Linked DNA regions of Tamandua tetradactyla. The protein of the gene in region 1 binds, or shares a complex with, the protein of each later gene. Links are inferred from orthologs where the notes say so. Each region holds a gene or a part of one and is shown in the gene's direction. Other genes may lie near its edges.

Region 1 (8,056 bases):
TTCAACTCCAAATTTATGTCAGAAATCTCCTCAAAAATAAACACTTTTGTGCCTCAAAGAACGTCATCAAGAAAGTAGAAAGACAGCCTACACAATGGGAGACAATATTTGGAAACAACACATCAGATAAAGGTCTAGTATCCAGAATTTATATAAAGAGATTGTTCAACTCAACAACAAAAAGTCAGCCAATCCAATTACACAATGCGAAAAAGACTTGAACAGACGCTTCTCAGAAGAGGAAATACAAATGGCCAAAAGGCACATGAAGAGATGCTCAACGTCCCTGGCCATTAGAGAAATGCAAATCAAAACCACAATGAGATATCATCTCACACCCACCAGAATGGCCATCATCAACAAAACAGAAAATGACAAGTGCTGGAGAGGATGTGGAGAAAGAGGCACACTTATCCACTGTTGGTGGGAATGTCAAATGGTGCAACCACTGTGGAAGGCAGTTTGGCGGTTCCTCAAAAAACTGAATATAGAATTGCCATATGACCCAGCAATACCGTTGCTAGGTATCTACTCAGAGGACATAAGGGCAAACACACAAACGGACATTTGCACATCAATGTTTATAGCAGCATTATTTACAATTGCAAAGAGATGGAAACAGCCAAAATGTCCATCAACAGACGAGTGGCTAAACAAACTGTGGTATATACATATGGTGGAATATTATGCAGCTTTAAGACAGAATAAACTTATGAAGTATGTAACAACATGGATGGACCTTGAGAACATTATGCTGAATGAGACTAGCCAAAAGCAAAAGGACAAATACTGTATGGTCTCACTGATATGAACTGACATTAGTGAATAAACTTGGAATATTTCATTGATAACAGAGACCATCAGGAGATAGAAATAGGGTAAGATATTGGGTAACTGAAGCTGAAGGGATACAGACTGTGCGACAGGACTGGATACAAAAACTCAGAAATGAACAGCACAATACTACCTAACTGTAATATAATTGTGTTAAAACACTGAATGAAGCTGCATGTGAGAATGATAGAGGGAGGAGGGCTGGGACATAAATGAAATCAGAAAGAAAGATAGATGTCAAAGATTAAGATGGTATAATCTAGGAATGCCTAGAGTGTACAATAGTACTGAAATGTACAATGTACAAATTTTAAAAATGTTTTTGCATGAGGAAGAACAAAGGAATGTCATTACTGCAGGGTGTTGGAAATAGATGGTAATTAATATTTAAAAATTTCAACTCATGTGTGAGAGTAAAGCAAAAAAAATGTTTATTTGGTACAAAATTTATATTTTGACTAGTGCATTTCCTAATATAACTTATGTAGATAGTTTGATTGAATGCCATAAGTACTTGGAATCTCAGGTAGGACATGAGATTTTGTTGGTTTGTCCAGAGTGATGCCCCGATGAATCCCAGAGTGATTTGACCAGTGAGTGAAAAAGTATTTGCAAAGCCCCCTTGGGGGAATGTTGAGAACGGGGAGAAATTCAACTTCCCCAAGTTGTATTCTTGATATTCTCACAAGCAGTGTGGACAACCAAAGCTATAGGGAGAGCCCCCAGTCTTGGGGTTTGTTCATACGAAACTTAACCCCACAAAGGTTAGGTCAAGTGTACTTAAAATCTAGGCCTAAGAGTCACCCCCAAGAGAGCCTTTTTTGTTGCTCAGATGTGGCCTCTCTCTCCAGCCAACAAAAAAAGAAAGAAAAAAAAAAACTTCCGCTACCCTCCCCCCATTTCTTACATGCACTACTGGTAACATTATGTTTAAATGTAATATTTTTACGTGATTACATCTAAATACCATAAACCTCCTTTATCACGATGGTTTGGGGGTACAAAGATGGATATCCCCTTAGAGGCTAAGCTAATTATAATAGACTTTTAAAATTATCCTTTTTTTTTCCTGATTATAAAAGTAATCTGTATTCATCAGAAATCAAAATGCTGCAGAAATGAATGCCATAGAAAGTAAGAGTCCCTGCTGTCCGGGCATGGAGGCGGATGTGCAGATGACTTAGGAGGCAAACAGATTTCATCCTTGGCAGCAGCTCCATCCAGGCCCATCTTCACAAAGGGCCTTGAACTTAGACTCATCGTGCTCCCCTCCAAATAAGGCCACGCCACAGTCACAGAGACGTGCACAAAAAGAGTCTGTCACTTTAATTGTTAGAATAAGAGTCCCACTTTAATTCTGACATCAAACATTGAAAATATAACACGAGGGTTATAACCTTCTTTCCATGTTTCTTCATTTTAAAAATTTCTGGGAAAAAACCGAGTTACTGGAAACTCAACACTTGGAAAAAAACTTCCCTTCACCCAGCAAACATTGCCTTCAAGAAGTCCCTGCATCAGAATCGCCTGTGTTGCAAACGGTGGCCTGGTGATTTCAAAATATCCTGCTTTGCACTGGGAAGCCCCATTTCCTACCCAATTCTGTAGGTGCTTAGTCTCAGCTTAGAAGACTTTCCTGACCTGTCAAGACAGAATCCGGGTCCCCAGGCACCCACGGGAACCCATGCTTCATTGCACGGGCTTGTCATTGCTTGTCCAGTAGAGGGACCGTCCGGGTGCCCGTGAGGACCCATGAAACCCCTCCTCACCCAACCTGAGAGTTTTACCCATCTACTGCTTGCACCATAAATGTGCATTTTTGGGTTCATGCATTTTTCGGGCAGATGCTGGGTTTGGGGGTCATCTTCCCAGCAGAATCCAGTGAACTGGGTGCTGTCAGCTATGAGAACAAACCAAAAGGGTTGCATTGGGCAATAAGGGAAATCCAACCAGCCAGGACTCAGGGCAGCTTTGATCCCAGACGGGCCCTGCCCTGGGCTGTTTTCCCAGCCAGGCCTCAGACCTTTGTAAGTGACCCGTGGGAGTGGTCAGCACGGCCCATTTTGAGCATCAATGGTCAACCAAAAAACGGACATCCATGGGTAGTGATGAACAGTAAAGTAAACATTTTTTGTCATGCAGGGAGACAATATCACGGAGTGGCTAAGACAGTGAGTTTGGATCCTGGTTCTGGGGAAGCCCCTAAGCCTAAGCTGTGATTCCTGGGGGTGAAACAGGGGTGGAAACCCTGCCTTGCAGGACGCTGCAGAGATTTTAAGAGACAATGGAGAGAAAGCAAGCAGTGCCTGGTACAGAGCAAGCCCTCCTTAGAGGGTGTGTCCATTTCCCAGGGCTGCCCTCACCAAGCACCCCAAACTGCATGAGTTAATGTCATAGAAATATATTCTCCCACAGCGTTGGAAGCCAGTGGGAGAATGAGGTGTTGCGGAGTCGTGCTTCCTCTGAAGGCTCAGGGGAGACGCTTTCCTCCCCTCCTCCGGCTGCTGGTGGCCTCAGGCATTCCTTGGCTTGTGGTGGCATCACTCCAATCTCCTTCACCTTCACATGGCCTTCTCCCCTGTGTGTCTCCTCTGTGTTTCTATGTCCCTATCCCAATATCCTTCTCATTTCTCTTATAAAGACACCAGCCATTGGGTTCACGGCCCAACCTCACCAGTATGTCCTCATCATAACATGGTCACATATGCTATTTCAAACAAGGTGACCTTCACAGGTGCTAGAGGTTTAGATTTGAACATATCATTTCAGAGGGCATGGTTCAACCTGCTACAGAGGGTAATTGTATTAGCAATAAAACATCTTTTCATTGAGAAGGACAAAAAGTTTAAACCAGGATATGCAAATAATGCCAACTAAGAGATAGAAATATCGTTATCTGCAATCACCATTGTAATAATTGATTTAGGAAGAGATCATCAGTGGATGCTAAGACCACTGATGAAAGATTGTGGGAGGACAAGACATTTATACATTCTCAGGTTATTGATTAATTACAAAGAAAAATATTATAATGGGAAGACCTTGAGGACACTTGAATATTATCTTCAGTCTAAGGAGGAAAAAATCAGATAAATCTCACTTGAGGGATATTCTTCTTGGAATAGAATTTTCAAAAGCACCAATATCTTTTTTTTTGTCTTTTATTTTTTTCAATGTAACAACATACAAACAGGAACATTCTTGCCATATGATCATTCCATTCTTGGTATATAATCAATAACTCACAATATTATCACATAGTGGTGTATTTATCACCATGATCATTTCTTAGAACATTTGCATCAATTCAGAAAAAGAAAGAAAAAGAGAAAAGGAAAAACTCATACATACCATACCCCTTACCTCTCCCTCTCATTTATTGCTAGTATTTCCATCTATCCAATATATTTTAGCCTGTGTTTCCCGTATTTTTTTCTATACCCCTTATCATTGCCTTTCATTGATCACTAGCATTTCAATCTACTAAATTTAACATTTGTTCCCCCTATTATTTATTTATTTTTAATCCATGTGTTTTACTCATCTGTCCATACTATAGATAAAAGGAGCATCAGACACAAGGTTTTCACACTCACACAGTCACATTGCAAAAGCTGTATCATTATACAATCATCTTCGAGAAACATGGCTGCTGGAACACAGCCCTACATTTTCAGGCACTTCCCTCCGGCCTCTGCATTACATCTTGACTAACAAGGTGATGTCTATTTAATACATAAGAATAACCTCCAGTATAACCTCTCGACTCTGTTTGGAATCTCTCAGCCATTGACACTTCATTTTGTTTCATTTCTCTCTTCCTCATTTTAGTCGAGAATGTTTTCTCAATCCCTTAATGCTGAGTCCGAGCTTATTCTAGGGTTTCTGTCCCACATTGCCAGGAAGATCCACACCCCTGGGAGTCATGTCCTATATAGAGAGGGGGAGGGCAATGAGTTTGCTTGTCGTGTTGGCTGAGAGAGAGAGAGAGGCCACATCTGAGCAACAGAAGAGGTTCTCTGGGGGTGACTCTTTGGCCTAATTTTAAGTAGGCTTAGCCTATCCTCTGTGGGGTTAAGGTTCATATGAACATATCCCAAGATTGAGGGCTCAGCCTTTTGCTTTGGTTGTCCCCACTGCTTGTGAGAATATCAGGAATTCTTCACTTGGGGAAGTTGAATTTTCCTCCTTTCTCACCATTCCCCAAAGGGGACTTTGCATCAATATCTTGAAGAAAAAAGAAGGCTGGGGAAGGGTGGAAGTATTCTAGCTAAAGGGGGACTATAGAGACATGACAACTAAATGTGACGCATGGTCTTTGACTGGATCTTGGATTGGGAAAAAAAAAGCTATGAAAGACACTATTAGTACAATTGGCAAAATTTGACTATGGACTGATTGTAGTACTGTTAACAATGTTATAATTGTATATTACACTTGAGTGTAATAATTGTATTATGAGGATTTAAAGTAATATCCTTGTGTCTTAGTTCTTGGGAATATTTAGGGCATTTGGAGTGATGTGTGAAAATGTTCTCTATTGCCCAATGGTTGGGGGGGGAAGAAGTGCATGTGTATGTGTGTGTGTGAGAGAGAAGAAAAAGCAGCAAATATAGCAAAATGCAAACAATTGGTGAATCCAGGTAAAGAACATGTTGTGTTATGTTCATTGTATAATGCTTTCAACTTTTCTGTAGTTTTGAAATTTTTGTGTTTTTTTTTTTTTTTGAAATTTTTGTTGTTGTTGTTGCATAATTTTTAAAAGTAAAAAGTTGGGTAAAAAAACCAAGGCGTGCAAAAAGACAGAGGCAGGCAATCAAGAGCAACCCACCCCACCTGGAGTTTCCATTGACGTCCGGGCCACCTCTGGGCTCCACGCTGGCCTGCACTCCCTTGAGGACCCGGTGTCTGTTTTCACTGTCGCACTCCAGCATCCTGGCACTTGAGTTTGGTAGATGTGCGTGGAAGAGTGACCTGGGGCTCCAGGGAATGTCCACCCTGCCCTCCAGTGAAGGCAGAATCAGGAGCAAAAAATCAAGATGGTGGTCGCAGGCTTTGCACTTCAAGGCCTTGGCGTGGTGAGAAGGTCCAAACAGCTGAAACTGCATCAACGGAGGTGCCACCAGGGCTCGTCTCCTGGCAGTGTCCTGCCTGCCTCAGCAGCCTTCTTGGACAGGGCAGGGAAAGCTTGCAGGCCTGTATTTGCTGTCCCTTCTCTTGCCCTTGGCCCTGGAGGGCCCATGAAACCCCAAGAGTCTGGAGGAGAACAGCTGGCCAGAGGGGGACCGGGAGCTCTGTTCTCAGCCCCACCTCCTCCGCCAGCTCTGTGTCCTGGAAGGAAGAGAGAGCAAAGCATCTGAGTGCCCACCCTAGGACCAAGAACCTGGAATGGCACCCAGCCAGGCCTTCCATCACCGCCTTGCCCACCTCTTTGCAGCCTAGGCAGCAGAGGGGAAAGCTGGGGGGCCTGGAGGTATGCGTGGCTGCAGGACACTGCCCCCTCCGAGCTGGAGACATAGAACACCAGCCGGTGTTGACACACCATGACTTCAGTCTCAGTTCCCACCAAAGCTCGGTGCACTTCCTGTGCCTTTTCCGTTATTTCTCAAGTCGGCTCTTCTTGCTCAGACACCGGGCTCCAGACAAGGGGCCTCTTATGCTCCTGGCCGGCTGTGGCCTCTCCTTGGTCCACGCCATGGCCAAGACCCCCAGTGACCATCTGCTGTTCTCCCTGGAGGACCTGGTGCCCTATGACTTTGAGAAGTTCAAGTTCAAGCTGCAGAACACCAGCCTGGAGAAGGAGCAACCCCGCATCCCCCGGGGCCTGCTGCAGATGGCCGGGCCTGTGAAGGTGGCCTCTCTGCTCATCAGCCACTACGGGGAGGAGGACGCTCTGCGGCTGACCATGCAGGTGCTGCGGGCCATCAACCAGCGCCTCCTGGCCGAGGAGCTCCTCAGGGCCTCGGGGAAGGGTAAGGCAGGCCCCAGCCCCCACCCGCTGCTGTCCGTGGGAACTGGGAAGGCGGACTGGGAGCTGGTCCGCTGGAAACTCCAGACCCGGGAGATAGAAATCCCAGGTCTCCCCACCCTCGGTGGACCTTGGCCAGGCCAACCCCTCTCTCCTCCTGGGTCCTGGGACCTGGGTTGGTAAAGAGCCTGAGGCTCCTCCTGGCCAGGACTCTGGAGGCTGAGAAATCGTCCCTTGACTTGCGATTTAACACGTGTGCAGACAAGTCACCTCCAGGTAGCAAAAAGGGCTTGCTAACCAAGCCTGTTGTCAGGGGTTGGGATGTGATCTGCTCACTGTTGGCCGCCTCGTTTCAGCTTTGAGTTCTTTAACACCCTTTAAAAGGGTCTTTATAAATTCTAAGAGGATTTCTTAATTCTTCACCCCTTCCTTTTTTCGTTCCTTTCTCCCTGTCTTCCCCCCTCCCTCCTTTCTTTCCTCTTCCCTTCTTTCTTTCCTTCCTTCCCTCTTTTCTTTTCTTTCTTTCCCTCCCTCCCTCCCTTCTTCTATATTTTCGTTTCTCTCTTTCTCCACCTTGTTCTACACCCTTTTGTTGTACCTTTCTAATTTTATTTCATTGGGATTAAAGCCATTCACATCTGCCATTAAAGGTTTTTTTTTTTTTTGAGATTTTCTTGGGGCCTAATACCAGGTCAGTTAAAACCTTTGGTGTTTGAATTTTTCTTTTTCTAGGTTTTAAGCCTACATTAGAGACATGTTTCTATGAGGTAGAACAGTTTAAGATCGCAAGGTTTCTCTCCGTTCCTTGAAGGAGTGATAGAATTCAACTGTAAACTACCTGAGTCTTGTGTAATTTGATGAGTAAAATTTTTTATATTTTATGTTTTAAAATCTGTAGGGCTTCTTACCAGTTCCGGAGCCAGTTTTGGTAATTTTGTTCTCCTGGAAAATCAACGGCAAACTATTTTCAACAGCTTTAAGTAATTTTAATAAGAACTTCTTCAGACAGAAAATTAAGGTGCTAATTATTACAGGTTATCTGTATTTCCTTCATAGAGTAGTGGTTTTCAAATTATGCTTCTGGGAGGTATTTCAGGGATTTTTTTAGAATTTAACAAATACATATTGAAATATACCATTAACCGAATTTTAAATTATTGTTGGCCGACTGTGCTGAAAAATTAACTTATTTTCAAGCAAACCTTGGAACAAAGCCTTTCTTTTCTGTTTAATTAAACAGCGTCCTGAGATTTC
Region 2 (7,865 bases), on another chromosome or scaffold:
CCTCCTGTGCGCTCTGCAAAGACAGCGGTGGGACAAGAGGAGCCTCCGGGACCCTCGTCCATTCCGATCGCTGCGGCCCCAGCCTCTCACTCTGCAGGGAGCGGGGACATCTGCAGATCTCACAGGGACTCTGCGGATAAGCCCTGGACTTCGGAGTCTGAATTCTTCTTCTTCTTTTTTTAAACATTTTTTAAATTGTGAAATATAAATACAAAAAAAGCCATACATTTCAAAGTACATTGTAGCAAGTAATTACAACACAGATTCCAGAGTTTGGTATGGGTTACAGATCCACAGCGTCAGGTTTTTCCTTCTAGCTGCTCCAAGACACAGGAGGCTCAAAGAAATATCAACATAATGTTTCAGCAGTCATACTCATTTGTTAAACCCTATCTTCTCTGTTTTAATTCCTCCCTCTCCTTTGATCCTTCTCCCAATCTTTAGGGATATTTGGACTATGGCCATTCTAACTTCTTGTTGATAATATGGGATAGAGGGATGGAACTAGTTGATGTTCTTGGAGAGGCTGGCCCCTCTGGGTTTCAGGACTTATCTGGCCTAGGTGCCCATCTGGAGGTTGTAGGTTACTGGGAAGTAATCTTAGTGCCTGAAACTTTGTAGACTCTCAGATAAAATCATAAGTGTCCTTTAGGGTTAATAGGAATGATCTTGGCTGGAGTTTGGCAAACCGTGGTAATGAGCAATATCTAGCTGAAGCTGGAGTAGCCTCCAGAATAGGCTCTTGACTCCACCTGAACTCTTTTAGCCACTGATATTGTATTTTGTTCCATTTCATTTCCCCCTTTTGGTCAGGAAGGCGTTGTCGATCCCATGCTGCCAGGGTCAGACTCATCTGTGGGAGTCAGGTCCCACGTTGCCAGGGAGACTTTCACCCCTGGATGTCATGTCCTGCCTGGCAGGGAGGGTAATGATTTTCCTTGTAGAGTTGGGTTTAGAGAGAGAGAAAGACCAGATCTGAGCAGCAAAAGAGGTTCTCTGGGTGTGACTATTAGGCATAAGTATAGGTCGGCTTAGCGTCTCTGATACAGAAATAAGCTTCATAAGAGCAAACCTCAAGATCAAGGGCTTGGCTTATTGACTAGGGAGTCCCTAATGTTTGACACAATATCAGGGGTTTCCCCAGTGGTAAAGCTTAATAGTTTCATATGTTTTCTCCAGTTTTTCAAGGGGCTTTGCCAGTACTTTTTTTTGGGGGGGGGCATGGTTCAGGAATCAAACCTGGGTCTCCTGCATGGAAGGTGAGCATTCTACCACTGAACCACCTGTGCACCCCACTTGCCAATACTTTTTCAATATATATGTCCTGCCTTTCTTTTTTTCTTTGCATGGCAAAGAAAAAACCCAGGTATCCTGCATGGCAGATGAGAACTGTCTGCTGAGCCACCACGGCCCGCCCTTGCCAATACTTTTTAATTATCTGCCAACATATTCTGGATTGTATTCTGGTATTATGTCAAGCTATACAGTCTTATAAGCTCTCATTTCCTTTCTGGGCTCCATATGTTTGGGTTGTTTAAATGAGTGATCCAAACAGGTTGAGTTAGATTATGTGCTACAGAAAATGTAAGTTTTGGACAAAATAAACCTCCCTTCCTTTGGTCTCATATAGTAGGTGACGTTCTAAAATGCAATGTCACCCTTACCCCTGTATTCTGATTTACCTTAGTCCTGACCAGCTTGGCTTCATTCTTATCTCTAATTGAAGCCTGATCTCTTTATTTCTTAGCTTCTTGAACAGTTGCTGTAGGTAGCACTGCTGACTTGCAGAGCTGCAGAATTCCAACTCAGTCTCAGGTGTCACACAGGTTGCCCAAATTCCAGGGAGATACCAGGTTATACATAAATACCACAGCATCTCAAAACCTAGAAATAACATTTACAGCTCTAGACTAAATGTGACTGCTGTAAGAGTTTACAATTTAAGCCCTAATTTTCTTATAAGTATTTTCTAAAAGAGACCGTACAATATTTTGTTGTTGTTGTTTCTGGCTTATTTTGCATAACATTATGACCCCAAGGTTCATTCACCTCACTGCATGACTGCATTCCTTTCCGTAGCCATACGATATCCCATCACATGTACATACCACAGCTCTCCGTTCTCAGTGTACCCTTCAGCCACCTCCATCCATTGAGGATCATGGGTAATGTCCAAAGTCAACAACCCCTGCTTCACATTATCCTCACTTCACTGCAGGATCATCAACACTCTCAATTTTAGACAATTTTCATTGCTCCAAAGAGAAAAATAACCAATAGACACATCCTCACTGTGCCAGTTTGAATCTGTGGTGGACCCCAGAAAAGCCATGTCTTTTAATTCTCATTCAGTATTGCTGGTTGGGAGCATTTTGATTGTTCCCATGGAGATGTGACCCACCCAATTGTGGGTGGTAACTTTTGATAAGATAGCTCCATGGAGTGGTGACTCCGCCCATTAATACTTTAAAAGAGGAAACAGTTTAGAGCCGCGAGAAAGCCACAGCAGAGCCTAGCAGAGCCACAAGGTTGAGAGAAGTACAGAGTCCATAGGCCAGCAACCTTTGGAGCTGAAGAATGCCCCTGGGGGAGCTTCATGAAACAAGAATCGGGGAGAGGAAGCTAGCAGATGTTGCCATATTCCCAACATGCCTTCCCAGTTGAGTGCAAAACGCTGAACCCATCAGCCTTTCTTGAGTGACAGTAACCTCTTCTTGGGGTCTTAATTTGGACATTTTTATAGCCTTGCTTTAATTGGGGCATTTTCTTGGCCTTAGACCTGTAAACGTATAACTTATTAGATTCCCCTTTTTAAAGCCATTCTGTTTCTGGTATATCGCTTTCTGGCAGCTAGCAAACTACAACACTCACCGAATGGAAAATCCAAACCTTCCCTTAACTCTTGTCCTCCCCACCCCCCAATTATTTACCCCTGGCATTGCTGTGGGACTGTTGATGTCTTCCTGTTAAGTATAGACCATAGTATGCAATGGCAATGTCCCCCTATATCCCTCTATTATTGACCCTTTGTACAAGATTCATACCTTTGAAGTAGTTCATGCAAGAACTTATTTATATTTGTAGTGTTAATCAGTGGGATACGTGGCTCCATACGACCCCTTTCAATCATGTTCACCCTCAGTACGGCAGTATTACTTATAAACCCACTAATGAACTGCCATTCCCTTACATTTAAATTCAACCTCACTAACTGCTCACCCATCTCTAACTTCTATGTATCTCTAGGTCCCCTATATCTTATATTATAAGCCTCTGAGTTTGCCTTTACCGAGGTCATAATAGCAAAATCATACAGTATGTATTCTTTAGTGTCTGGCTTATTTCACTCAGCATTATGTCCTCAAGTTTCATCCATGTTGTCATGTGCTTTGGGATCTCATTTCATCTTATTGCTGCATAATACTCCATTGTATGTATGTGCCACATTTTGTTTATCCACTTGTCTGTTGATGGACACTTGGATTGTTTCCATTTTTTGGCAAATGTGAGTAATGCTGCTATGACCACTGGTGTGCAAATGTCTGTTTGTGTCACTGCTTTCAGCTCTTCTGAGTATATACAGAGTAGTGGTATTACTGGGTCATAGGGCAACATGATATTTAGTTTTCAAAGAACTGCCAAACTATCTTCCATAGTGGCTGGACCATTATACATTCCCACCAGCAGTGCATAAGAGTCCCAATTTCTCCACCTCCTCTTCAACATTTGTAGTATCCTACAAATTTGTTTAATAGCAGCCATTCTTGTAAGTGTGAGGTGACGGCTGAGTTCTTAACCCTCTCGGCTGCCCACAAGACCCTTCACCTTTCTGGATCTCAGTTTCCCCTTCTAGAAACTAGAAGAGAACAGTGGCTCTGAACTGTTTTGGGGTCATTGGCTCCTTTGAGAATTTGTACACGCAATAGTTTCTCTTCGGAGAGAAATGTATTTTGGCACCTTAGGATGGACGGATTTGTTTTCACTGTGACCCAATGAATTAGGTACTTTTATTAATCCCACTCGACAGGTGAGGAAACCAAGGCCCAGAGAGGTTAGATAACTTTCCCAAGATCACACAGCCAGCAAACTGTGGGACTGCTCTTGAACCCAAGCAGCCGGGCTCCAGGCTCGCATTCCCCAACACCGAGCAATAAGGGCCCTGGGGGTGGTTTTCTATTCTGTGATCCCCAAATTACTCGGTAGGTTCTGTGGCGTGGCTGGGAGCCTGATGTGGTTCTGTGGGCTGAATGTGGTTCACACAGGACTTCAGGAAACACAGCTGGAAGACAAACCACGAGGCAGCCAGGCTGTCTCTGCCAGGTACTGTCTTTATGACCTCTCTGGCCTGTGCCTCGTCTCCTCTCTGAGACAAGAGGACAGAGCCAGTCTGGGTGAGATAGAGGAGCACAGGAGATCGGAAAGCACATTGTAGGCGCTCATTCGAGAGGGCTGTCACCTCGGTACGCATGTGAGCACCCACCCAGGTGTCTCAGCCTGGGTGCCGGGGTTAGGGAGGTCGGGGCGAGCAGCCAGGTGTGCAGGCGGCTCAGGCAAGGGCCCAGGGCTGCTCACTCCGATCCAGCCCCACCCAGTGAACATCTGCCCTGCTGGTTGATCCTGCAGTTTTATTTACTTAGAAAGTCAACCACAGAAGTTTCATTTTCTTTTTCATTGGGTTGGCCGGAAACAGAGGGGGCAGGCCTCCATTTGCAGTGTGAGGAGCTGATAGCAGCAGCTGAAGCTGACCTCCCACCCGTGACCCGGCACCCACTCCCAAGGCCAGTGCCAGCTCCCCGCAGTCTCTATCCCGCTGCTGTCAGCATGGCCCAGGCCGCTGCGGACACAGCCACCAAAGGTACAGTAAGTTCTTCCTTCCCAGGAGAGCGGGGCTCCCGGGAGGGGACATGCACTTCTCTTTCTGGCCCAGATCACGAAGGTAACTGTGGCACAGGAACCAAAGGCCGGAGCAGCAGGACAGGGCCTTGGGGGCGCACCTACGGCAGGGCTCCCCCAAACAGCCCTCAGGCTGGGCGCGGGGAGTGCAAGGATTCCTGCCGAGCAGACAAGCTGACGGGGCCAGGCTCCTGAGCTGCAGGGTGACTCGGGGCAGCCCAGCCGGCTAGCGTTAGAGGCAGGATTTGAACCACCCCCTCTTCATACTCATGTTGAGAAACAAAGAACTACCCACGTGTATGTTTTCTCCCGTTTCCAGCATCCCCTCAGTTAGTTTCACTCTGAGAAGAGTAACAAATCCACTGTACTGGGCAGTTGTCTGGGGCTGTCTGCTAAGCGCCCGTGGCCTGTGGGCTGAGGGTGCTGCTTGGGGTGACCTCATTCCATCCTTGCCACAAACTTTGAAGCAGATGCTGTTATTAGCCCCATTTCACAGACAGGGTAAACCAAGGCACAAAGCGTCCACACAGCCAGTAGGCAGCAGAACCAGGGCTCAAACCCAGGAAACCCATCACCAGAGGATAAAAAGGAAGAAAAGAGAGAGTTGGGAGGGGGCTCGGTGGGGTGCAGCCCGGAGCCCCGGCTGGTCCCTGAGCTCATCCTTCCAGGGGTTGGGAATGCGCTGGCCTCTCCCATCTTCCTTCTTCTCCGGTTGATTTTCCATCTATCTCATCATTTACATCTGGTCCATTTTGCAACACAGCAGGCTGGAACGGGGTGCCTTCTCCTTCACCCACGTCTCTGACCCCACCTCTTGTTTGGGGTCAGGGTTGGGGCTGGGGAAGAGGGAAGTTGAGCCAACTTGCTGGGCAGACTCTTTAAGAAGCAAAACTCTTGTCAAGACTGCAGCCAGTTTGCTGGGATTTCTGGCCCACTGAGGCTGTGATTTGGGGGTTGATGAGGTGGTGCTTCCAGGTTTTCTAATTGCTCTTTACCTGAACCCAGGGGTGGGGTCTTTCTGAAGGACCCTGCTTTGAACTTCCTCAGGGTTCTTGGGGTTAAGAAACTTCCTGGTGACATGCTGGGCGGCCCTGAACCGGCTTTCTTGCTGTGCTGTCCCTGTCCCTGCCCCTGTCACGGCCCCCTGACCTGTTTCTGCCTTTTACTATCCTTCTACTCATTTCCCTGAGTCTGATTCCTCCTTGCAGAGCAGCTGATTTTGATTTTCAAGAACCTGCCCCAGGAGGAGCAGGGGCCTCTGAGAGTCCCTCCATGAGCCTCGTAGTGTTCTGCTTAGGGCTCACTAAACTCAGAGCAGGAAACTGAGGCACATACGGACTGGCCCAGGGGAGCTGCTCATGACCTGCCCCTGGGGCATCAGGCAGATGTCTGTACAGGTGGAGGATAAATTTATTCACTTACTCACTTATTCACTCATTCACAACTCATTCATTCAACCGTCCTTGGCTCTAGGCTAGTCCGTGATGGTACCAAGGTGAGTCAGGCCACTGCAGTGGGGGGGTCTGTGGGGACACTCTGTAGGGACCCACATATAAACAGCAGTCTAGGATGGTTTCCCAAAGGAGATGGCATCTAAGCAAGACCTGGGATGTCGAGTAGGCTCTGGAGGCGGGGTAAAGAGTGATCTTGACAAAGGGAACAGCACGTGCCAAGGCCCGGGGGTGAGAGGGACTGAAAGGAGCACTGTCAGGTTGGTGCGTGGAGCAAAACTGGGGGCGGTGGGGCAGTAGGCCGAGCTGGAGTGTGTGGGTCTTTCAGGCTGTGGGAGGAGCTGGAATCAGACTCTGGCTGCTGAGCCAAGGGGAACCCCGCTGGAGATGGGGGCTCTGGCCAGGAGCCCGCTGCTGTCACTCAGGCAAGAGACCTGGGCTGTGGGTACAGCAGAGAGAAGTGCAGGGATTCAAGGGGGAACCTGGCAATGGGTCTCTCCAGGACACCACAGTCACATGGGCACTGGGAGAAAGATCATTCCCGAACGCCTGCCAGGGCCCTGGCTTGGGGGAGTCACGATCGACCGGGTTGCCGAGTTGGCAAAACCACGCAGAGGGGCGGATTCCGCAGGGAGGACGACAACAGGGATCAGAGAATGCCACGTCGTGGGGCGTGACAGGCGGGGACTGCCGGCCTCTCCCCCCAGCACCCGTGCCCCTTCCCCCTGCCTGAGAACAGCTGAAAGCTGCCTTCCCACCTGCCGTGGGGCGCTCACATAGGGCCCTGCCTGGAGCCCCTCCCTTCCCAGGCCACCAGCCAAGGCTGTTTGGGAGCAGTCTGCCTGCCCCGCACAGCGGGCAGAGGCTGCCCGGGCCTCTGTGCCCTTCCTCTGCCCGGGCCCCCGTTCTCCCAGACCGCCCTGCCCCTTTCTCTCCTAGGGGACCTGGAACGGAAGATCCTGCAGGTGCTGCGGGACGCGGGCTCCCCCGTGAAGACTGCCCAGCTGGTGAAGGAGTGCCAAGTGCCTAAGAAGGAGCTCAACCACCTTCTCTACCAAATGGAAAAGGAGTCCAAAGTCGCCCTGGCGGCCCCTGCCACCTGGCACTTGGGCAGGACTGGGTCTAAAGTGGCAGTTCCCGCAGCGCTGGCAGAGCCCAGCGGCGGTAACCTGTCATCCCGGGGGGAGGGGGAGGGGGAGCCAGCCTCAGCCCGGACAAGTCCCATTTGGGCCCCATTGACCTGGGTTCAAATCCAAGCTCTGCCACTAGGGGGCGTGATACCCAGTCACTGTGCTTGATTTCTTTTTCTGCTCAGTGGAGGTGACTATAGGGCTACTTTTTGGGAGAGAATTAAAAGCAAAGGGCTCAAACCCAGTGCCAGTGCACAGGAGGTGTGCAACAAAACATTACAAATAATGACAGAAAGTGATAATGATAACAATGATAGAATGAATCATAATAAAACAAAGTTTGCATCACACTTGATGCAAACTTTCCAGTTTTACAGCTGATGGAAAAACA
Region 3 (7,920 bases), on another chromosome or scaffold:
GACAAAATAAAGTTTCAGTGGCTGAGAGATTTCAAATAGAGTCAGAGGTCATTCTGGAGGTTATTCTTAGGCATTATATACACATTCCTTTTTATCTTTAGTGTAGTAGAATAGCTAGAAGAAAGTACCTGAAACTGTTGAACATAATTCAGTAGCTTAATTCTTGAAGATGGTTGTGTAACTTTATATTTTTTACATGTGACCATGTAACTGTGAAAACCTTGTGGTGACACTCCCTTTATCCAGTGCATGGACAGATGAGTGAAAAAATAAGGACAAAAATAAATGAACAGTGGGGAATAAGGGTTATCAGAGGTTTTGGGTGTTCTTTTTTATTTTTGTTTTTAGAATAATGAAAGGGCTCAAAAATTGATTGTGGTGAAGAATGAACAACTATACGATGAAACTGTGAACCATTGATTGTACACTTTGGGTATTTATACAGTATGTGAATATATTTCAATAAAACTGCATTAAAAAAAGATCCATCAGAGGAATAGTTAGCTATGGTAGCTATAGCCTTACAAAATGAATTTTTTAATAAGACTTGAAAGTTGAAATTACTCCTTGATCCATTGGTTGCAGAATGGATATTATGTTGGCAGGCATGAAAACAACATTGATCTCATTGTATGTCTCCACAGAGGTCATACAGTGACCAGGTGCACTGTCTGTGAGCAGGAATTTTTTTTTTTTTTCTGATTAGTAGTATCAAAGCAGGCTTAAAATATCAAATAAGCCAAGTTGTAAACAGATGTCTTGTCATCCAGGCTTTGTTATTTCATTTGTAGAGCATAGGTAGAGTAGATTTAACATAGCTTTTAAGAGATTTAAGGGTTTTGGAATAGTAAGCGGGCAATGGCTTCAACTTAAGGTCACCAGCTGCATTAGCCTCTAATGAGAGTCAGTCTCTGCTTTGAAGTGGTGAAGCCGAGCACTGACTTCTCCTGTGTAGCCATGAAAGTCCTACGTGGCACCTCCTTCCAGTAGAAGGCCGTTTTGTCTACATTTAGAATCTGTTGTTTAGAGTGGTCTCCTTCTTCAATGATCTTAGCTAGATTTTCTGAATAACTTGCTGTGGGTTCTACTACATCAGCACTTGCTGCTTCACCTTTCACTTTTATGTAATGAAAATGTCCTCTTTCCTTAAACCTCATGAATCAACTTCTGCTAGCTTCAGATTTTTCTTCTGCCACTTCTTCACTCTTTTAGCCTTCCTACAGTTGAAGAGAATAAGGTCCTTACTTTGGATTAGGTTTTAATTTAAGGGAATGTTGTAGTTAGTTTAATCTTCAATCTAGATCACCAAAACTCTCTCCATATCAGCAATAAGGCTATTCCACTTTCTTTTTGTAAGTGTGCTCATTGGAGTAGAACTTTTAATTTCCTTTAAGAACTTTTGCTTTGTATTCACAACTTGGCTGTTGGAGCAAGAGGCCTAGCTTTTGGCCTAGCTCCACTTTCGGCATGCTTCCTCACTCAGCTTAGTCATTGATTTATTCTTGCAGGTTTCCATTGTTTTTCATCTCTTCTATTGTGTCTTTCATTCCCATAAGTTCTGCCATTTATTTTTTCAAACTTTCAGTTTCTTCCTTTTGTTTTCCCCATATTTTCTTTATATCCTCCCCAAACTCGTTGATGCTTTTCCATGTCTGTTTGAACATCCTCAATTAGTTTTCAATTCCTGTATCTCATTTGAAGTTGTTGGTTTATATTTTTGACTGGGTCATATCTTTGATTTTCCTGGTATGAGTCATTATTTTTTGCTGGCATCTAGGTATTTGGTTTCCTTAATTAGTTTACTCTGGAGCTTGTTTTCACTCCTTTACCTAGGATTTTCTTGCTGAATGGCTTTGTTCTCCATCTGTTCTTTGACATTCAGTTCAACTTATTCTAGACCTCTAGCATAGGTTCTGTTTAACTGATCACAATTTTTCAGTTCTTATTTTTCTGTTTCTTGCCCTACCTGTATGGAGCCTTTTTTACATTTCTGAGGAAGGTCTCTTCAGATATTACAGACCCCAGTCAGATTTTTCCCAGACCAGATAGGCCCGTGTCTCAAGAGCAAAGAGTCACCAGCATCTGTTTTTTCTGAGGGTGAGACCCAGCAGGTTGTCAGACTTTCCTATGAAGCCTCTAGACTCTGCTTTTCCTGTCCTGCCCAGCATGTGGTGCTTGTCTGCCCATCACTTCCCACCAGTGTAAAGTGATGTGGTGCCTTTAATATCAGCGGACTGTCCCTGCTGGGGTGTGGTTGAGGCAGAGTAGAGGTTGAAGGATCACTTTAATTGCTTCAATTTTCCAGTCCTTGGGGCTTGAATTCCTTGAGGGAGCAATTCCACTTGAGCTGGGCCCCACCTTCCTCTTGGGGAAGATTCACCCTCTAGGGAATTAACTTCTTTCATCTGACTAGTTACTTTGTCTCTCAGACAAGCTTGATTCCACCCTTGCCTGGAGCAGTGCTGGAGTCTGAGAGTGCTTCTGGTTCTATCTAATGAGCTGTTAAGGAGTGAAAAAAAAAAAGCAAAAAATGTACTTTTCAGAACCAAACTCCTGCTCCTCAGGTTTGTTAATCAAGAGCTTAAGTTAGTGCATGGCTCTGTGTATCTCCAGACTCTATGTGCCCTCTCTACTTGGGGTTCAGCCCTTTTCCAGTATTTTGTGCTGTCCAACTCAAAAACCTTTTTGTTTGTTTGCTTGTTTTTTGTTTTTTTTTTCCTGTCAACCCTGTCCCCTAGCTGCTGAGGCAAAAACTCCTAGTTCCTTTAGTGCTTATTCCAGGTTTATCTGTGCTGGAGGCCTGTTTCCAGTAGTCAGAATTTGTTAAATAATTCCACAGTTGGAGATTGGTTGAGCTAAGCCCTTGCTGCTAGTAAAGTCTGTTTCCTTTCCCCTTGGGGAGCCAGCCTGCCATGCCCATGGGAGAGGGGTGCAGTCCTCTTCAGCTTGGGAGAAGAACCCTCTGTGTGGGGTCTCAGCTGTTCCATTGGATCTAGGCTGGTGTATGTTGTGTGTCCAGTCACTGATATTCCCCCAGCAGTAATTCTGTACAGTTCTTGGCTATTTACTACTGCCCTGCTCTAGCTTTTGATTTAAAGTGGGAGACGTGCGACTCTTCCTTTCACTTGAACACTTAGAAGCCATTGTAGGGTTATTGAATGGTCTTATTTCAATATTGTTGTGTCTCAGGGAATAGGGAGAGCTGAGGAGAGGAAAAGGGACAGGGGAACAGCCAGCCAGTGGAGCAGTCTGAACACATATGACATTTATCAGTTAAGTTTGCTGTATTATATGCGCATGGTTTGTGGAATCCCAAATTATTTTCAAATTTATGATTTAAATTTTGTAATAAAATAGATGGAAACAAAGGAGGCATTTGAAGGGTGGGGTGGAATTAAAACGTGTGCTCAAAATGTCCTCTTGATCCTGAAATCTAGCTAGATGAACATGGCCTTGATTTTTTTTCTTTTCCTCACTTCTAGGCCATTTTATATCAGGGGTTCTGAGCCTGAAAAGTTGCTTCTGACCTTTTGCATCCTTCATGTTTTTATGTTAAACAGAGAACCATCCCTTGATTTAGGAAAGGAGATGAATAATCACACTTTCAGTTTCATCTGGAGAAGCAGTATCTCACTGAATAGCTTGGCACTACCCAGTTTTATAAAATACATTTTATATATACAAAATGCATGTAGTTCAACTACAATTTGCCTGGAACCCTAGAATGGGGCCTAAAATGGGGGTCCAGAGGAGTTGAGATAGCTGGCTTTGCCAGTGTCTGTACTCAGGATAGGAATAATAGGTGCTTATTTGTAAGTCTGCGTGGAAAGTCTGCCTTGATGGGGACTGCGTTCTTAACCCTGAGGCATGATCACTATAGTGGCCAAGACGAGTTCAGTTCCTACAAGACATGGTGAGCTCTTTTCTTACGGGATTTGAGTTCCAGATCGTGTGCATACCAGACAGCCCAAACGATCCATAGTAATATTGCAGTTCAAGTACTAGTCCTCAATGTCCAAGGGCAAACTCATATTTTTCAGTACTGTTGTATTCATTACAGTTGCTAGGACTCAATCCGAGGCAATGGCAAAAAACATCTGCAAGAAAACTATAACTACCTCCAAACTCTTGCTTAAGGAATGGAGAGCTAAGAAAGCCTGCTATAACTACTTAAAATTTCCAGGAGATGAAGCTGAGCACATAAATGCTAAATAAATATCTGTTGAATGAAGGGACAGATAAATGAATGAATTTAATATCAGTTTAAATTTCTTAATACAATCTGTCAGCTTTTCTTTTACTTTACATTTAGGTTGACACCATGCAGGACAAGCACTTGTGGTGGGAGATAGTTGTAGGAGACCTGACACTTAACTTGTGCCAAACCCTGGGTTAGGTTATCTAGACTTTATCTCAGCTCTACCTTGCCCTGCTCCAAGGTATGGAGCACACATGATGCTAATATGATCACCGATATCTCCTCCAGTTACTTCCTCTCCTTCGATTATCTAGCAGGATTTATCAGCTCACTCACTTCTCTGCATGACTTAACCATAATTACAAACAGCCTCAACCAAGGCTATGGGAATCTACTGGCCCATATGGAAGACAAAAAGGAATGTTTGAGCAGTGGTTCTCAAACTTCACTGTGCAGCAGAATCACCTTGGAGAGCTTTTTAAAATACTGTTTGTGGATGCCATCTTCAGAGTTTGTGATTCGGTAGTTCTGAGGTAAGGCCTCCAAATTTGCACTTCTAAAAGTTTACAGGAGACGCTGATGCTGCCTGCCCGGGGACCACACTGTGAGAACCAGTACTCTAGGTTGTGAACTTCCTTAAAATTTAGGAAACAAAATAGAGAAGGAGCTATTTGCTTTCATTTCTTCATGCTAAAATGTCTTTGGCTGAAATTTCAAGTTGGGAGGAAAACTGGTCAGACTTGTCTAAGACAAGAAACAGAAAGTTAAGAACTTTGATGGGAGGAGCCTTAAAATCCTGCACATTGTTAAATGCAAGAGCTGGTTAACTTTCGAAGTGAAACAGCCAGTAGCACTTTTTCCTTGTCTTTCAAAATCTCTTCTTACCATGGCCCACCATTCTAACTAATGAAGAGCTCTAGCTAGTTCTAGCTAACAGTCGTCCCTGAAACTCTGAATTCACAGCTAGGCTGTTGTGGAAGAGAGCCAGTAAGGTAAGGCCCCTGGGAAATTTTCTACAGAAATCTCAGGGGAATCAGTTGCTAATCTGAACATCAAGAGAAATAGTGATTATGGGTTTTTGTGGTGGGAAGAAAGGCTAGTATTTACTATATCCAAAAAAGAAGAGCTGTAGGCAATCTGATCTTAAACCTTCAGTTGACTGAGGAACAGATGCCATGTTTTATTTCACCATAAGGTGAAATAAAACTTTAATAAAAGGAAATGCATTTGGCCGCAGCAAGTGTTGGAATAAATTGTTCAAGGACTTGACCCAGAATGAGCCTAAGAGGAATTCTGGTTTTCTGGGTGTGTTGACCTCCAGGTTGCTTATTGACATGAGTTTATGTTTAGAAGAGGGCTTTTGATATCTGGCTTATGAAGGAGAGAGAGAAACTTAGGATCTGGGGAGCGATTCCTGGAAAAAATACAAGAACAATGGCGTGTCAAAAGGCCTATTCTGTGATATTTGGTTAAAAACATCAGAGCACAAAATTGTATTTTACAGAGTTCTTGCAATTAAAAAAAAAAAAAACCCACAGCAGATAAACTCTCATTCCACAAACTCAGATATGCAAGGAGTGTGGATTTATAACATTTTTCTGTTACACAGTAATTTCTATTTCCTCTAGTCTGTTAGAGGTCAGAAAATGTATTTCAGTCCATTTAAGGTTGGACCCCAGTTTTCCCACAGTCATGGCTAAATTCCTGGAGTTTGGGAAACCAGTTATTTTCATATTATAACTATTCTTTGAAATTTGCCAAGGCATCTTTTATAGTTCTTTTGAATATATAATAAATATTTCTAAGTGTTCCATCAGATCAAAATTGTTAATTGTGCTATTCAGCTCTTTTATATTTTTGCGGATTTTTTTGATACTTGAGCTATAATTTATTGATAGAAATTTGCTATAATCTCCCATCATCATGGTGTATTTGTCAATTTATTCCTGAAGGTTTATCAATTATTGTTTGTATCTGTTGAGTCTATTTTGTTAGGTACCTACATGTTTCGAATTGGTATATTGTTTTGGTAAACTTAATCTTTAATCATTGTAAGGAAATGATATCCTTAATGATGCTATTTGTCTCAAAGTCTTCTTTGATTGATAGTAATATAGTTATACTATCTGCCTTTTGGTTAGTATTTGCATAATGTAACTCTTCCCATTATTTCTTCTTCAACTTTTCAGTATTTTCATGCTTTAGATTGTTATCTGTAAAAGCATAGGAACTGGATTTAAAGCAAAATTTTCTTATTAGAAAAGTTGCATGAAAAATATTGCAGAAAATACAGAGTTCCCATATCATTAACACCTTTTATTAACACCTTGCATTAGTATGGTACATTTGTTATAACTGATGAAAGAATAATACTATAATTGTACTATTACCTATAATCTCCTTCTGGGAGAATAAACTCGTTAAAGTCTCGGAAGACTTCTTCACAACTTCACATGAGTGATAGGCATTAGATCCGAGGAGAGTTCAGAACTTCCCTTGGTAGAATGGAAATGGAGAACCTAAAACATAATAAGATGGTTCTTTGGGTGGATTAACTGTGGCAGTAGTGATAAAATCCTTTGAGGGAGCCATAAAAGAAGGTTCTCTGTGTCCATCCATGGCCACCCCTCCTGTTCCCCATCTAAAGAATTGAAAAGTATTCTCTTTAGACATTAGCTGTAGTCTACAGGCTTAACTCTCCTGCGCTGATCATCCATTTTGCCAACCCCGTCAATTATAATCTGGTCCACCCTTATCATGAGGGAACCTGGCACACAATCTGTATTAGGAAGAAAAGTAGAGGATTCTATATTGCCTGAACTATCTAGTTTTTAATCACTATTCTAAAAATCTTAACCTCTTCCCAGTTTCAATCTCAGAGCACACTACTTTCTTGCATATATCCCTTTCTGGAGTACATAGTTTCTGTTACAGGCTGAGACTGCTCTCGGAGCCTGTCAGAGCAGGTTTGCAAGCCATATATGTAATGGTTGCCCAGAACCTAGTGATAAAATACACGCATTCCAAAGGCAAAGAAAGTAATAGGAAAGAAGGAAGCAATTATGTCTCTAATTAAAAGCTATGAGACATCACTCTTCCTCTTAGTTTTCATCTAATTTCTCTGCTTCCTATGCTATGTTTTGAGCTTTTGCTGCTATTGAAACTCGTTCTTCCATTTGATCTTTTTTCTATTTTTTTTAAGTTGATATATATATCTGTTATATTCACATACCATATGTCATGTTCAGGTTCATATGTCAGCTTGGCCAAGTGGTGGTGCCCAGTTGTTTGGTTGGGCAAGTGCTGGCTGTTTGTTGCTATGAGGACATTTCATAGATTTAATTCATGAATCTGTTGGCTGCATCCATAACTGGTTGCCTTTGCAATCAGCTGAGGGGAGTGTCTTCTGTAACAAGTGACGCTTAATATAATCACCAGAAGACTTTTAAGGAGTATTCAGAAGAGACAATCACTCTTCCTGCTTTAACCAGCCAGCCTTTCCTGAGAGTTCATTGAAGACATTCATTGGAGCTGCCAGTTTGTGGTCTGCCTTGCAGACCTTGATTCTTATATCCCCGCAGTTGCCCAGTCAGCCTCTCCTGAGAGTTTGTTGAGGACATTCATTGGAGCTGCCAGCTCGCGGACTGCTATAGAGACCTTGGATTCTACATTCCCATGGTTAGTACACCTTTATAAATTTTATATTTGCAAATATCTCCTGC
Region 4 (8,245 bases), on another chromosome or scaffold:
CAACAGCTGCATCATTTTATATTTCCACCAATAATGCACAAAGGTTCCAATTTCTTCTCATCCTTGCCAATACTTGCTATTTTCCATTTCTAAAATAGTAGTCATTCTAGCGGGTGTGAAATGGTATCTTGTTGTGATTTAGACTTGCATTTCCCTAATGACTAATGATATTGAGCATCTTTTCATGTGCTTATTGGCCATTTGTACACCTTCTTCAGAGAAATATCTTTTCAAGTCCTTGGTCTATTTTTATAATTCGATTGTTTGTCTTTTTGTTGTTGAGTTGTAGCAGTTCTTCATATATTCTGGATATCAAACTGTTATCAGATGTATGATTTGCAACTATTTTCTCTCATTCTGCAGGTTGTCTTTTCACTTTCTTGATAATATCATTTGATGCACAAAAGTTTTAATTTTGATGAAATCCAATTTATCTGTTTCTTTTGTTGCTCGTGCCTTTGGTTTCATCTCTAAGAATGCATTGTCTAATACAACATCCTGAAGATATCCCCCCATTTTCTTTTAAGAGTTTTGTGTTTTTAGTTCTTATATTCAGGGCATTGATCCATTTTAATTAACTTCTATATATGGTGTAAATTAGGTGTCCAATTTCTTTCTTCTGCATATGAATATCCAGTTTTCCCAGCACCATTTGTTGAAGAGACTATTCTTCCCCTATTGAATGGACTTGGCACCTTTGTCAAAACTACTTGGCACTGTTGTGGAAAATCAATTGATCATAGATTTGTGGGTTTATTTCTGAACTCTCACTTACTTGATTCCATTGGTCAACATATGCCAACCAATGCCACACTGTTTTGATTACTGCAGCTTGGTAGTAAAGTTGGAAATTGAGAATTGTGAGAGCTGAACCAGAGAATCAAGCAAGGATGAAAACTACTGCCACAGAGAATCAACATCTCAAAACTCTCTGATCCTCTCCAGCAGCTGTATTCTTGTGATAAATCCCTCACTTGCAAGAACTCACCAAAGAAAACCCACCTAACCCTACCCTCAACCCCCTTTAAAAATGTCTACTCAAATCCAGGCAGGCAGGAGTTGATTTCTTGAATCACCTCTCTTTGTGTTCCCCTGCTAATAAAACTTGCTTTTCCCACTGCCAGTGTCATGTCTCTGTCTCTGCTTCACATCTTTGACCTCCGCCCAGCCCAGGACTTTCAGGAAGTATAAGTCCTCCAACTTTATTCTTCTTTTTCAAGATTGACTTGGCTATTTGGGGCTCCTTGTCATTTCATACAAAATGTGATGATTGATTTTTCCATTTCTGCAAAGAAGGGTGTTGGAATTTTAATTGAGATTGTGTTGAATCTGTAAATTGCCTTGGGTAGTACTGACATCTTAACAATATTAAGCCTTCCAATCTATGAACATGGGATGTCTTTCCATATATGTAGGTATTCTTTAATTTCTTTCAGCAAGGTTTTGTAATTTGGGGAGTACAAGCCTTTCACCTCCTTTGTTGAATTTATTCCCAGGTATTTTTATTCTTTTGGATATTAAAATAAATGGAATTGTTTTACTTGATTTCCTTTTCAGATTGTTCATTGTTGATATATAAAAACAACTGATTGTTTGCATATTGACCTTGTACCCTACCACTTTGCTGAATTCATTTATTAGCTCTAGTAGCTTTGTTGTGGATTCTTTGAGATTTCCTATGTGTAAGATAATCTTCAAGTAGAGATAGTTTTACTTCTTCTTTTCTAATTTAGATGTCTTTAATTTCTTTTTCCTGCCTAATTGTTCTAGCTAGAACTTCCAGTACAATGTCAAATAGCAGTTGTGAAAGCAGGCATTCTTGTCTTGTTCCCAACTGTTCTAGTTTGCTAGCTGCTGGAATGCAATATTCCACAAATGGAATAGCTTTTAAAAAGGAGAATTTAATAAGTTGCAAGTTTATAGTCCTAAGGTCACTTAAAGAAATTCTATAGAAATGTCCAATCTGAGGCATCCAGGGAAAGATACCTTGGTTCAAGAAGGCCGATGAAGTTAAGGGTTTCTCTCTTGGCTGGAAGGGCACATGGCAAAGTCTGCTAGCATTCTCTTCTGGCTGCTCATTTCATGAAGCGCCCCAGGAGGCACCTCCAAAGGTCACTGGCTGATGGACTCTCTGCTTCTCATGGCTATGTCATTCTGAAGCTTTCTACAAAATGCTTCCTCTTTTAAAGAATTCCAGTAAAGTAATCAAGATCCACTTGGAATGGGTGGAGACATGTCTCCACCTAATCAAATTTAATACTCACTTTTGATTGAATCACATCTCGGTGGAGATGATCTAATTAAAGTTTCCAGCATACAGTACTGAATAGGGATTAGAAGAAATGCCGCCTTTACAAAATGGGGTTCGGATTAAAACATGGCTTTTCTAGGGTACATAAATCCTTTCAAACCAGCATACCAATCTTTGGGGAACAGCTTTCAGTTTTCACCATTGAGTACAACATTAGTCATTGGTTTGCATTTATGTCCTTTAGCATGTTGAGGAAGTTTGCTATTCCTACTTTTCTGAGTGTTTTATCAAGAAATGGGGCTGAGTTTTGTCAAATCCTTTCTTGAGTAAATGAGATAATCATGTGGGTTCTTTTCCTCTATTCTATTTATGTGGTGTTTTATACTGATTGATTTTCTTATGTTAAACCACCTTTGCATTCCTGGCATAAATCCCACTTGCTCATGGTGTATAATCCTTTAAATGTACCATTGGGTTCGGTTTCCTAGTAATCTGTTGAGGATTTTTACATCTATATTCATAAGGGATATTGGTTTGCAATTCTCCTTTCCTGCTATGTATAACCAGATCCTCTTAATCTAACAAGAGATGAGCATCAGTTAGTATTAGAATATGCAAAAAGACAGATCACACCCTCCTGCCCACCCCCACCCCAAATACACACATCTTATATACAGGGATTGGGAATCAGACCAGGCACTAGGCATGGGCTAAAGGTAATCAGAAACTATCAGGAGCAGAGAACCAAAGAGGATGAAAAACATCTAACACTGCCCCCAAAGCCTGGGGCTACTGGGGTCAGAAAACCAAGCCTCAGGAAAAGCCAGAGCTCCAAAATCAGGAATCAACTCTCTCTTGGTTCACCACCACCACCACATCACCACTGGAAGCAGAAGGCACTCATTCTAAGCTCCGCTACTCACCCCTCCTTCTCTGAAAGGGGTTCCATTTATTTTGAGTCAAAAAGTAACAGAACCCTGATTCCACCTCACCCCAGTGTCCCACAGTAGCTTTTCCCTATCCTCAAAGTCTTGTCCCAATCTAAAGAGACTCAAGCATTAAGAGGTCTTTAAACACAATTCTAACTCCCTTCTGCCTGCTCCTTTTAAGTGGAACTATTGATCCCAGGGTCTTCTCCTGAAAAAAGAATCACCAAGGGAGTGACTGTGGTTCTGCACGGCTCCCAGCTTCTGACTCGAGGCTTTTTTTTTGAGGACCTGCTGTTATTCTTGTCTTTGGATTCAATATTATATCTCTATAATAAAGTCTGTTTCAGACTAATTTCATCAACTGTGCAAGTGAGAGTCCCCAAACCATAAAGGAGCCCAATCTACCCTCTTCCCAATGCATATGGAGCTGTAGCTGAAATGATCAGAGACTTAAGGAAGCTCCCCAAATTTTGCTTGTTCATTCATTCACTCAGTCATTGTATTTAGCCAATAATTATTGGGTGCTTACCATATACTGTCTTGTAAAGAAACTATGGTCTAAGAAGTAACCTCAAGGAATTCCTAAAATAAAATTGTTCCAAAGCATGGGCAAATCCCACCAGAAACCATGGTGTACATCTTGAAATTTCCAATTGCTCTGGAAGCCACAGTTAACTGCTGGGCACTTCTTCTCCAACTAACAGAGCCCACAGACCACTGGACAGGATGTAAAGTGCATATCAAGGTGAGCCCTCCAGGGTTGAGTCTTCCTACAATCTCTATCCATGGCCAGGCTACCTAAATACTTAAGGCTTCCTGAATTCCAACATTCTCAGAGCCTGGAGCCCAGAACATGTGCTTGTCAGGTATACGAACTGGTCAGGGGATTTGCATGGAGAAGTTGGCATGAGGGTAGGGAGGACTCTAAGGTGTTTCCACTGCAGTGGACACCACAATGTCAGCAACTCTCTGGCTGAGCTAATTCATCTAGACTGACCTCAATGCCCTGGGAGTGAGTGGGTTTTGGTCTCACCAGCTCCAGGAGTCCCAGTTTACAGTTTACAGAGCAGACAGATCACTACCAATGTTGGGTGCTTGCCTCAGCAAGAGCAGCTATCAGGGACTGGGCAGACTACAGATGGGGACCCTTCACTGTCTTAGTGGACCTTTCATACCTTCCCCAGACACTTTCACCACCAGCTGAGGGGTACAGCCCTGAAGCTACGTGAAAATAAAGTAACTTGACAGTTAAGAGGCAGGAGCCAGTTTCCTACTGGCTTGAGCGAGGAACTTAAGGTGGCTCAGTTTCCTCTTCCATAAAAAAAGAAATGGATAAACACAGTGCCTAGCCCCTTATGGTTAATGTGAGAATTAAACAAGCTAATATGTGTGCTTGGCACAGGGTGAGTATTACAGAAGTCTTAGCTATGATCTTAGGGCAACTGTGGGAGAGCTGAGCAGCAGGCCCATAAAACCCTTCTAAGCACTGCCCTGCAGGCCTGGCAAGTGGTGGAGCTGGGAATCTCCTGGGAGAAGGGAGAGACCCAGCCGGTAGGACTGAGGGCTGACTGGGGATTCTTGGAAGGTGACGACACCTTCTGCAGCACCTTAAACGCCCAGTGACCCCTAATAAGGACCTGGCATGCAGCAGGTGTTCGAGGAAACACTAATTAGAAAAAACAAAAACTGCAGTAGCTTTAGTTTTGCTCCACCCCCGGGGCGGGACTCTGACAGCGAGCCTGTCGGGGAAGGAAGTGTGCTCACTCCTTCCGTGTAGCGTAGCGGAAGAAACCCTGGAGGCAGAGTCCCTGCTGGACCCAGAAATTGACCCTTTCCCAGCCCCCGACCTCCCCTCCTTCCCCCCACGTCCGGCTCCCGAAGACCTCCATCCCTGCAGGTCACGACTTCCAGAAGCCCAGCCTGATGTCTAGCGGAATATGGTGAGAGGGGCGTGGGGGTGTCGACCGGGCACACTGACTGTCCAGCAAGTAGGGCGCCGGGCGGACACCTTCGGGAGCACCGTGGCGCCCCGAATCCAGGCCGGGACAGACGGAGAGGCGGGGGGAAGGGCTACTGCACGGAGGAGGGGAGGGCGCCGCGCCGATGTGGGACCGTGGCCGCCTGGTGGACGAGGCAACCTCATTAAGGTCCACAGGTGCCCCTGCCCCCAAGGTGTCCTTCGAGGAATTGGAAAACCCGACGCTGGTCGGCCAGGGCGGGTTCGGCGTGGTGTTCAGGGCCCGACATAAGAAGTGGGGCTACGATGTGGCCCTCAAGCTGGTGAACTCGTGAGTGACGTCGGCGTCGGACAGCACCGGGTCCTGACCTAGGAGGCCCGAGATGCTGTGCCCTGCAGCCTGGGAGAGGGAAGGCGGGGGCGGGGAGGAAAGGGATTGGGGGGAAGGGGAGAAGAGCAGAAAAATCTCTCCAGGATGCTGGGCCCACTCAGCACCCTTCTCCTGGCCTGTAGGGAGACGTTATCCAAGGAGGTGAAGGCCATGGGCAGTCTGCGTAACCAGTTTGTGCTGCTCCTGCTGGGGGTCACTGAGAAACTGAAGTCTGCGTATGGGTGCAGGCCGGCTCTGGTGACTCGGTTCATGGAGAACGGCTCCCTCACAGAGCTGCTGCAACCCGGGTGCCCTCGGCCTTGGCCGCTCCTCTGCCGCCTCCTGCAGGAGGTGGTGCTGGGGATGTGTTACCTGCACAGCCTGAACCCCGTACTCCTGCATCGAGACCTCAAGCCGTCCAACGTCCTGCTGGACTCTGAGCTGCACGCTCAGGTCAGCCCACACCCATCCTGCCCCACAGCTGCTTCAGCTTGGGCCGGTCACACAGACCCTGTGCTGCCCTAGTTCACTGGAGCCCTGCAGACACAGTCCTGTTCAGGGGTCGAGGCCCACCCAGGAACTTCCACCTCTGTCCTACCAGGAAACAGATCCTGACCCACCCCAGTTATTTCCTCAGGCATCCCCGCCCCTTCAGTCAGTCCCCACAAAGAGCCATGACTGACCTAGCCCAAAAGACTCAGGCCTTGATCTGGCCCCATCCAGTAGGAGACATAGTCTTCCAACCCAATGGCCCCATTGACCCTCCCCTTCCTCTGACCTTACACACACCCTTTACAAGGCAGGAGCTGCATCTACTGTTAGGAGTAGAGTGAGCAGGAAGGTGCATTGGAGGCTGCCTGATGCCTTCCCCTACCTCCTTCTTTTTCCCTTCCTTTGCAGCTGGCAGATTTTGGCCTATCCACATTTCAGAAGAGTTCAAAGTCAGGAAAAAGTTTCAGCAATCCAATAGGCACCCTAGCCTACCTGGCCCCAGAACTGTTGGCTGATGTAAACCAGAATCCCTCCACAGCCTGTGATGTCTTCAGGTAAGGTACACACCCCAAACATATCCCAAATCTCAACATCTTTCTGGGAGCAGGGTGTTGCCAGTGGCTGGGCCAAGCCTCAGGTTTGTGTCTTTTGCAGCTTCGGGATCCTCATGTGGGAAGTGCTAGCTGGAAAAGAAGCTGAGAGTAAGACTCTAGGTGGACTCCAGGATCCTTAACTCCATATGCCCTCCTCCCTCAAACCCCCAAGCCCTTCCCTTCCTGCTCATCTCTGCACATTGCCTTATTCATGCCTCCCCTCCCCACAAAACCCTTGGACCATATTCCCTGGTGATTTTAATGATGAAGCAGGTTACCCTTCATATCTCTTCCCTCCCCCTTTCCCTTTGCCCCAGTGCCCAAGACAACACTGATGAAGATATTAGTGTGTGAGGAGCAGAGCCGGCCCTCATTAAGAGAGCTGCCCCAACCTGGGCCCAAGACTCCTGGCTTGGAAGACCTGAAAGAATTAATGCAGCAGTGCTGGAGCCACAAGCCCAGTGACAGGCCCTCCTTCCAGGGTGAGCTAACCATTCAGCTAGCACGAGGGGCAGGCCTGGCTCTCACTGCAGGCTTTTCCCTGGGAATGATGTTTAGCTCACCTAGCCATTTTGCCATTTCTCCAGACTGCCAACCAAAAATGGCTGCAGTCATCCTTCAGGTGCAAGATGAGATGGATGCCTCTGTCTCCATGGTGAGCCCCCAACCCCACCCAGGGGCTGGTCAGGGAAAGCACATTATGGTCTCCTTGGCCACCAGTGACTTCCCTTTAATGACAGTTCTGTATATCCACTCTCCCCACCTTACCTGCAAATTCCCAGGTAGCAGAATATGACCCAAGACTACTTCCTCTGCTTTACACTCTGGTTCTCCCATTTCCGTGCATGACAAGCTCTTCCTGTCCCTACAGGTGAGGACATTTCTGTCTGAGCACAGGGGCAGCAACAGAAGGGGTTCTGCCCCAAAACTGGGCCCAGGAGGGATGGAGATGGATGGTGCTGGAGTTGATCCTATGATCTCTGAATTCCTGAACAATCTGCACCTGGAGGAGGACCCCAGCTCTGATCCTAAAGAATATGTCAAATTTACTGAGGGAATCAAGCCAAAGGAAGAGCAGGTTCAAGAAGCCAGGTCAGCAGGGACATCCTCAGATTCAAATGCCCGACCTCCCCAAACTCCAGAGAGTTCATCTTTCATAAACCAGATGCCCAGCCTCGCTTCGAACTGGGCCTCAGGTCCTTGGCCCCAAGAAAACCAGGTAAGACATCGGTGGGTCTAGGGAATGGACTGAGACTTCCTGTGAATCTTGTCCTTTCGCCGGACAAAATTTGGGGCTGAGGGGGATGTATAGTGGGGGAAACAGGCCTGAAAAGCTCTGTATTGTCTGCAGGGGGCTGAGAAACAAGGCAATAATTGGTCTCCCTTGAACCATCAGACAAATTCAATTCCAGGTACCAATCTCCCACCCTCTTCTTTCCCTTGCTCAATTTTTCCACCAGCTTATTCCTCAAGACTTATAGATACCAAGTAACTTGGTGAGAAAGGTGTTTAGAAGTCATCTAACGTGACCTCCTCCTTTAATAAATGAGGAAGTTGACATCCACTGAAAGAGGGTCTTGCTGAGGTCACACAGTAAAGCTTAGATTTGCTGCTGGGGCTTCTAACTTGACCCAGCACCAGCACCCCTAAAGT

What was found.
Region 2: MEFV (region 1) and ZBP1 share a complex: the UniProt entries of both Homo sapiens proteins name them as parts of the AIM2 PANoptosome complex. The link is inferred for Tamandua tetradactyla from reciprocal best matches to the Homo sapiens genes MEFV and ZBP1.
Region 3: MEFV (region 1) and AIM2 share a complex: the UniProt entries of both Homo sapiens proteins name them as parts of the AIM2 PANoptosome complex. The link is inferred for Tamandua tetradactyla from reciprocal best matches to the Homo sapiens genes MEFV and AIM2.
Region 4: MEFV (region 1) and RIPK3 share a complex: the UniProt entries of both Homo sapiens proteins name them as parts of the AIM2 PANoptosome complex. The link is inferred for Tamandua tetradactyla from reciprocal best matches to the Homo sapiens genes MEFV and RIPK3.

Annotation. Positions count from the first base shown.
Region 1 is NC_135349.1:54,083,425-54,091,480, forward strand, and holds the start of MEFV (pyrin), read left to right. Parts: upstream 1-4,918; 5' UTR 4,919-6,490; coding exon 6,491-6,806; intron 6,807-8,056. UniProt on the Homo sapiens protein: Involved in the regulation of innate immunity and the inflammatory response in response to IFNG/IFN-gamma.
Region 2 is NC_135327.1:27,815,923-27,823,787, forward strand, and holds the start of ZBP1 (Z-DNA-binding protein 1), read left to right. Parts: upstream 1-4,665; 5' UTR 4,666-4,821; coding exon 4,822-4,855; intron 4,856-7,283; coding exon 7,284-7,508; intron 7,509-7,865.
Region 3 is NC_135330.1:12,187,298-12,195,217, reverse strand, and holds the start of AIM2 (interferon-inducible protein AIM2), read left to right. Parts: upstream 1-4,541; 5' UTR 4,542-5,190; intron 5,191-7,755; exon of another isoform or gene 7,756-7,779; 5' UTR 7,780-7,876; intron 7,877-7,920. UniProt on the Homo sapiens protein: Sensor component of the AIM2 inflammasome, which mediates inflammasome activation in response to the presence of double-stranded DNA (dsDNA) in the cytosol, leading to subsequent pyroptosis.
Region 4 is NC_135340.1:30,328,649-30,336,893, forward strand, and holds the start of RIPK3 (receptor-interacting serine/threonine-protein kinase 3), read left to right. Parts: upstream 1-4,915; 5' UTR 4,916-5,103; coding exon 5,104-5,120; intron 5,121-5,327; coding exon 5,328-5,468; intron 5,469-5,650; coding exon 5,651-5,960; intron 5,961-6,407; coding exon 6,408-6,553; intron 6,554-6,653; coding exon 6,654-6,700; intron 6,701-6,909; coding exon 6,910-7,074; intron 7,075-7,179; coding exon 7,180-7,247; intron 7,248-7,463; coding exon 7,464-7,811; intron 7,812-7,943; coding exon 7,944-8,004; intron 8,005-8,245. UniProt on the Homo sapiens protein: Serine/threonine-protein kinase that activates necroptosis and apoptosis, two parallel forms of cell death. Necroptosis, a programmed cell death process in response to death-inducing TNF-alpha family members, is triggered by RIPK3 following activation by ZBP1.